Linked DNA regions of Mus musculus. The main gene of each other region encodes a partner of the protein of the gene in region 2 in a complex. Links are inferred from orthologs where the notes say so. Each region holds a gene or a part of one and is shown on either strand. Other genes may lie near its edges.

Evidence for each region. The genes of interacting proteins can lie anywhere in the genome.
Region 1: the proteins of Pex14 (region 2) and Pex5 are in contact, whole or in part, in an NMR structure (PDB 4BXU), measured with the Homo sapiens proteins. The link is inferred for Mus musculus from reciprocal best matches to the Homo sapiens genes PEX14 and PEX5. Residues at the interface, in NP_004556.1 of Homo sapiens: Thr31, Phe35, Asn38, Arg40, Val41, Ser44, Pro45, Thr48, Arg49, Phe52, Lys55, Lys56; in NP_001124497.1 of Homo sapiens: Glu59, Leu62, Val63, Glu65, Phe66, Leu67, Gln70.

Annotation. Positions count from the first base shown.
Region 1 is NC_000072.6:124,412,668-124,416,410, forward strand, and holds the start of Pex5 (peroxisomal targeting signal 1 receptor), read right to left. Parts: upstream 2,401-3,743; 5' UTR 2,306-2,400; intron 2,215-2,305; exon of another isoform or gene 2,100-2,214; intron 1,784-2,099; 5' UTR 1,767-1,783; coding exon 1,620-1,766; intron 1,376-1,619; coding exon 1,340-1,375; intron 1,035-1,339; coding exon 902-1,034; intron 734-901; coding exon 602-733; intron 1-601.
Region 2 is NC_000070.6:148,967,282-148,970,924, forward strand, and holds part of Pex14 (peroxisomal membrane protein PEX14), read right to left. Parts: exon of another isoform or gene 3,355-3,643; coding exon 3,269-3,354; exon of another isoform or gene 346-3,268; coding exon 243-345; exon of another isoform or gene 1-242. UniProt on the Homo sapiens protein: Component of the PEX13-PEX14 docking complex, a translocon channel that specifically mediates the import of peroxisomal cargo proteins bound to PEX5 receptor.

The DNA of each region.
Region 1 (3,743 bases), on a different chromosome or scaffold from region 2:
CACTGGAATTTGGAGGACAGTCTGGACTACAGAGATCCTGTCTAAAAACTCAAAGAGCATGTATACGTTTAGTGCAGACATACATTTTCCATTTTCTATCCACAGTTTGTTCAATCTACAAATGAAAAGCCAATATATATACAGGCAGCCTAGCCAGACTTCAGGGTTCTGAACTCCACAATCAATTTTCTCAGACCCCAGTCCTACTCAAGATGGTTGAATTGCCAGAGTCCTAGGTGCCGAGATGAATACTGCTCTCTTCCTGGGCTACCCATCCAATCTCTAGCTCCTCTCCACTAGACTTAAGCAGTCAAGTTACTGATAAAGAGGCAGATCTAATCTCTCATTCATATTCTCTCTCTCCCTCTCCACCCCCTCTCTTTTTTTTCCAACCAAACCCACTTTTCTCTTTATTATGTTTTGATTACCTACAATTGTTATAAGAAGTCACATTTAACATCCTACAGAAATGAATCAAGAAACTAGAAAAGTCATTAGTAGCGAAAATCACCTTCCATCCCAAGAGGAATCAGGACGCCCAGCAACACAGGACATGTAAATGCTCCCTAACAACTACTACAGATGTCCCCACAAGCCTCACCTGTAACTTCGGCGATGAATTCTTGGGACCAGTCGGTCTCATTATAATCTTGAGCTACATCCACAGCATCTCCAGCTGCAAGAAACTCCTGGGCCCAATTCTCAGACAAGGCCAAATCTGCCACACCAGGGGCTTAAAAGAGACAAGAGAAGACTAAGAAAAAAAGAAAACAGGTTCCTTCACACTCACTCATGGGCAACACCTCCTTTTTCTCCTCAGCATCTCAGTCCCCCGATGCCAGCAAAACCCAAGGATGGAAGCCCTCTGGCCTCTTCCCGTCTTACCAGGCCCTGAACCCACCTCTCTGAGGAGCCTGGCGAAAGTTTGACTGTTCAATCTCCTGCATCTCTGCCAGGAGGTCATCCATCTTGAAGGTCTGAGGGGCTCGGGATACAAGAGTTGCATTCTGGTCCTGCAGGAATTCTGACACCAACTATTACAGAGAGATGGTCGGATGAACATTAGGATCAGAGGGCCTCAGCCAGAGGCAGGGCCCACTGATGTTGGACAGAGAAACGAAAACTGGAGATAAATAAAGAAAAAAAAAAATCTATCTGTAAATTTGGAAACCAGAAAAATACCCCAAAAAGTAGACGAAAACATTGGCAGGCAATCTCATTTGGTAAAGAGAGTTCAAAGACTGAAGTATGAGTGGACTGATTTAAAAAAAAAAAAAAATCACCACAACCCCCCCCCCCAAAAAAAAAAAAAGACAGAAAAGAAACTTGCTCTGTTTACCTCGTCTTCAGTTCCTACTCCCAAAGGCTTGGAAACCTAAGATAAGAAGGAAAGAGACAATAGCAGGCTACAACCCAACTCTAACTCTACTGCTTAGGTGGCCTGAGGCAAGTCAAGAGCCTTCACAAAGCCTCAGCTTCTTTGTCTATAAAATAGTAGTCCTTGTCTGTGTAAAGCCGCACAAGGCTCACTCCAGTGTTACTGAATGGTGACTGCTATTACTTTAACACAGAGAAAGCAGCTGTCAGGTGGAAGAAATAGGCTCTCCTAGAACACTCACGGTCTCTGCTGCTGAGGCTCCCGGAGGCCAGGGGCCAGGCCTCAGTCCCTCCTGCCGAAGGGCCTTGTCCTGGGTGAAATGGGTGGCCAGCTTCATCAGCGGGTTGGCACCCCCACATTCGCCCTCCACCAGCTCCCGCATTGCCATGGTGACCAGCAGCTTCCCTGATGGACAGAAGATTAGAACTGTGGTCGGGAAGCCAGACTTTCCCAACGCACGCCTCAGGCCCTATCTAGAGCAGATGGGCCCACGACGGCTCCACAAGGGCCAGGCCCCCGGGGCCACCCCCCGAGGTGTGTCTGGAGTCCAAGAGGAGGCTGTGTCCTGCCTTCCCACTCGAAACGCTGCTTTCGGCTCGGGCTTCCCCTCCAGCGGACGGCAGCTCAGACACCACCCGCCAACAGCAGCTCTACAAAAGGGCCTGGACCCCTGGGGAGCACGGGGAGCGCATCATAAACACGGCTAGACCCGAACTCTAACCTGACGAGGGACAGCGGGGACGCCTTCCACCGTACACCGGGACCCACACCCCCGGTCAGGCGCCAGCTGCGGGTCCCGATCCCAGCTCGTGTCACCTGAGCCCCCTCCCCGGCCGCGCCCGTCCCCGCCCAGCGCCCCGCGCCCCCAGCCCCGTCGCCCCAGCCTCGACCCCGTCCCACGAGGCCACCGCAGCGGCGGGGACTTACGGGCCTCGACCCCGCGCCCCCAGGCTCCAATGCTCGCCGTCGCGGGCCGCACCGTCCGACCGGCCGAGGCACCCGGAGTGGGCTGGGGGAAGGGAGGGGGCGGGAGCAAGGGGGCGGGACTCGGCCTTAAAGGGGCCGGGACGGCGGCGCTGCGGCCCAGCTCAACGGAAACGGGTAAAGGGGCGGGGCCTCAAGCTTGCGCAGCGTGATGGGCGGAGCCGAGATCCTTAAAGGAGACAGTCCTGGACAGTTGGATTGGGGAAACCTGCAGTAGTCCCTAGAACGCCAGGATTTATTAGTGGAAAACTCAGAGGACTGGAGCTAGAAGAGGCCTCTCTGGCTTTGGAGAAAAACCAAGGTTTCAGGTTCCACGGTTCAGCTCTCTTTCCTGGTTCTCCTGCACCTCTAAATCGCCCAAACTGAGCCCGGGAGATTTCGGAGGTCAAATCTATGACCTGCTTCGGCCTCCTAGGCCTGACCCCCCTTCCAACAGACGCTCCTTCAGGACAGCGTCACAGCCTCCAAGGAGACAGGGGCCTGCCTCTACCATCTCTGCGTAATGAAGAAAATAGCTCCGGATGATGACAAATTCTGGTGACTAAAATAGGGTCCAACGCATTTTGAGACCTCAATCCTGTAATGGATGGGGAGAGTGCTGTGAGTCACTCCTCTCTCCTCTTTCCTACTGGTCAAGGTCACGATGGCCTGATTCCCTGCAGCTCCAAGTTGGGGAAACGTGGCAAGGAATACCTTTGATCAGGGAATATGAACCTAAGCCTCAGGCTCCACCATCTGCCAGAGAAATGGCTCGGGTGCCAGACCTCAAGGTCACACTGGAAAGCAAACCTTGATAGCTCACCTAGGTCCAAGACCGACGGACTCCTTGACGTCCTGAGAAGGGGAGGGGTTCAGAGTGCTGGTAGGTGGGCTAGGAGGAAACTGGTTCTAGAAAGGCCTGACGTACGTCCCAACCCGGGGTGCGGGAGAAGCAGGTAGTCTGTAGGTGGCGCCCTGGGGCAGGCTTGGTTCTTTGCTGCCCTGATGATTTCAAAGGTAGCCTTCCTCAGGGAACACAGGCAGTGTAAATTCGTCCCTGGGAAAATAGAAATTGCCCTTATAACTGCAGTGGTTGAACAAGGCAGAATATTGTGCAATGTTTCTGTCTTTAGTACACTGTCAGTATCTTTCAGAGGCCCTAACACACACACATACACCCATTCTCCTTGACCACAAATTTCATCCCTGTCCACTGTTTCCAGGCTGCCATTGTAAAGAAAAAAACACCTAGCAACGAATAAACTAAACCACACCAAGGAGGAAAGGATGCCATCTTGGAAGATGAATATGTTAAAACAGGAGAATCTCTGGAGAAAGCAGTGTTTAAGGAAAGCATATGATGGTTTGAATTTCTGGTCATGGGGAAATGGGAGAGCATCTC
Region 2 (3,643 bases):
TATTAATATTCTGAGGTTGGGAGCCTTTCCGTAAAAACATAATTAATTGAGGCCGCGCCGACAGTAAACAAGCAATTTCAAATTAAACCGAAATGACGGCGGCTTCATTTGCAAATGTGAACAGATTCTCAGAGCAGATAAATGAAGTCACCACAGAGTGGAGACGAGGGAGAGGGAGGGGCCGAGAAGGGGCTGCGTTAGGACGCTTTGAGGGGTGACTTGATGGAGTCATTAATCTTTACCTGTCTGGGCCACGGTGCCACTCAGTTCCGAGAGACTCGCTGCCATCCTCTCCAGCTGCTTTCTGTCCTCTCGGCCTCCCAGGATGAGGGGCAGCAGGTACCTCTGCAAGAAGTGGTCAGGTGAGGAGGTGGCCAACACCGGTCTCTCAGATCCCACCTCCCTGCTTGCCCTCATCTTCTGCAGGTTACCCCACAGAAGAGCTGCACTCTCCACACTAGAAACAAAGTGCTTGAAAAAGTTACAAGCCTGAGATCCCGGCCTGGTAAGAACTTCCACCTGAACAGGGACCAAGACCAGAAGGAAGTGAGCCTCCAGGTGGGGCTGGGGGCAAGCAGCGTCTCTGAGCTAACTCCCCAGCCTTGGGAAGTCCTCCCTGTGTGAGGGAGGCCTTATTACTTTCTCTTACTTCCCTTAGATACCTCACATTCCTGTGAGGCTTTTAGATTCTATTTCAAAAGTTCTAAGCAGAGACTGCAGAAAGATGTTCCAGAAACGGACCCTATGGTGGCTCCTGGGGAGGAGAGCTAGGCAGCTTCTCACCGCACCCTTTCTGAATCTTTCACACTTCAACTCTGCGAAGGAAACAAACCGCCTCAGCGATCCAGAAACAGTATTAGGTTTGAGTAAACACAGCATTACTGGAGAAACCAGAGGAAAATCAACAGACGCCCGGGATCGTTCATCTTCCATGGTAGGGTAAGGCATGCACAGGGAAAGCACCCTACAGCAGGAGGTGCGCACTTCACAAAGAGAGCCAGGACAGCCTATATCCTCCCAGAACCCAAAGGTGGGGCCGAGGGAAAGGGACACAGAAAGCCAAAGCTGGTGACTGCAAAGCCACCAAACAAGGGTCCTGGAACCAGCCTCTCCATCATTAGGAAGGCGAGGGCACACCTGTAGGGCTTGGGACGCTGATGTACAACAAGGGCTGAGGTAGAGTTGTTAGGTCCCCAGTCGAGGGGGCACAGTCCACTCCAACCCTAGAGCACACTACTCAGCTAACCACAGGAGCCTGGCAGGTGCTGCCCAGAGGGAACGTAGGGTCCCAGACAGGTCAAAGAGGGACTGTTCTCCACTGCCGGTTGGCTCTGTGCTAGGGAAGAGAAGCAGGTCTCTCAGGGGTTTGTGGGAGAACTCATTTCAGGAGAGACTCAGAGTGAGCTTGTCATTTAGCACATGCACAGAAGCAGTTTCTATTTCGCAAAGTGCTTTGCAGCCACAATGTGAGTTATTACCCACAACTGAGCGAAACTCATCAACTGCAGCCTGACGCTTCCAAAGTATAAAAGTCAAGAAATTCTCAGCTGTATAACCAGCGACCCCCATCCCTGAGGCCAGAGCCCGTGAGCGGGAAGTGTTGCCGCTGATCTGGCTAAGTCTGTGTTTGTGCAAAGCAAGACAGCTCCACTTTTCTATACTTAAAGAATACTACTAACATGCTGAAGACACGACACCATTGTGACCAACATTTCAATGTTTCCTTTCTTTGTAAAACACAGGCTGGTGGCCAGAGCTCCATGGAAACAGATGACAATCTCTGTCATATCTGAACCAAGGTGCCACACCTCCTGTTCTGTGGGGTTGCCACTGTGATGAGACACTTGTGAGCTGCTCACAGGACCCTGGTACTTGTGAACTCTGCTGGTACCTGTCTGCAGCTAGTGGGCTAAGAAAGGCTGCCCCACACAGGCTCCACAGACGCTCAGGGGGGAGTTCCAGGCCTGACAACAATTTGCTTCTGAATTCCTGCACAGGCATTTCTTATTTTGGCATCAGGCACTATCCTGAAGAGTTACATTCTGCCACAACTCTGTCATTAGCTATTGTAGGAAGTAAAAAACTAAGAATCTAAGGTTTAAACAAGGTTTAAATACATTTCATGTGCTCAAAGATACACTGCAAGCCTGGGAATTCAGTAGAGTCCTTTAAAGAAGAAAAAAGAGAAAAAGAAAAGAAAAGAAAAACAGTCACTAAATGCAGGCTGGATTAGTGGGAGGCGTCAGTGGAGAACATGACTTCTCTCCAGGGTAAGCAGGCCTAAATGTGGGGCCATCCAGGCTGTGCATCTTGTAGATTAGTTTCTCCAAAGCAAGGACAGGCCTTTCCACTGGTATTGGGAGGAAATGTTGGTTCAGTGCCTTTAGTTCTGCTGTGAGCATCGTGAGCTACGAGCTCTTGAGGGCTCGCTGACTCAAAAGGCCCAGGGAAACTCCCACATTTATACAGATGCTACCACAGTCCACAGAAAACAAGAAGTGTGCTTCCTGAGCCAGTTGTAAATACCAGGGTGGAACAAGGGCATCTATGGGGCTTCCCACGTGCCAGCAGGCAGGGAGCCAACACTGCTCCAGCACTATTCCAGGACTGACTCCTGGCCTTCCCTGAAACCCTGAGGCCAGTTCTGCAGATGCTGGAAGCCATCACATGGAGAAGATGCACTCATACTCCTGACCTGTGCTCCCGCTCTGCCTTCAGTGTGCTCAGACTATTGCTGGAGCAGCTGGGCAAACCCATTAAAATCAAAGCCTCTGTTGGTGCTCACTGCCTCTGTTCCTTTTCTGAGTATCGTACTCACAGTACCGACTGATATGGGCAGGCACACTTTCACAACACTGCAAAGTCGGACTATCTGTCTCAGGAACATCTTATGGATGGAGCTGTACTCTGGGACAGAGTCAGGTTCAACACATATAGCTAGGCTCTGATGTGCAAGCCCGTAACGACTAAATCGCTCTGCTTCTGCAATCTGCATGTTTCTCAGTGGTGCCAGGCACTGCTCTAAATACTTGAGCCAGCCGGCCATCAGGTCATACTGCGGGTGGGAGTCAGGGTGGCGAGGTGAAGCAGCAGTGCTGTGTGCATTCATGTCTCTCCTGCTGTGCTCCCTGCTTCCACCACAGCCGCTGTGCTCTGAATGCCTGTGTACATAATAAGCCAGGGGCCAGGAGGGAGGACAGAGGAGGGAGGAGGGAGGAATACCAAAGGGTGGCAGGGCATAACATGGTGGCCCTGAGAGGCCACTTACCTTGTAGAGTTGGTGAAAGCCAAATGCAATTCCTGCCATGATGATAGCCAAGGCACCATAATCTCGCCATCGGGAGCCTCTGGGGCCTGGGGTAGAAAGGAAGGAAGAAGAAACTAGAACAGGTCTCTGCCCAGGAGTGTCGCAGCGGACAGGCCAGTGAGACACACAGCTGCAGAAAGCACGTGACCATCAGAACATCAGGGCTCGGCTCTGCCCTCTCTTCTTTCCAAGGTCCCAGAACTGTCTGCCTCACTTGAGATGGAAGTGATCTGACCGTGAGATGCTGGGAAGAGGTATCCAGCTGTGAGCCTAGTGCCCAGCCATGGAGGTCAGAAGGCAGAGGGGACAGAAGGACCTTTGGCCTGGCCTCATGAG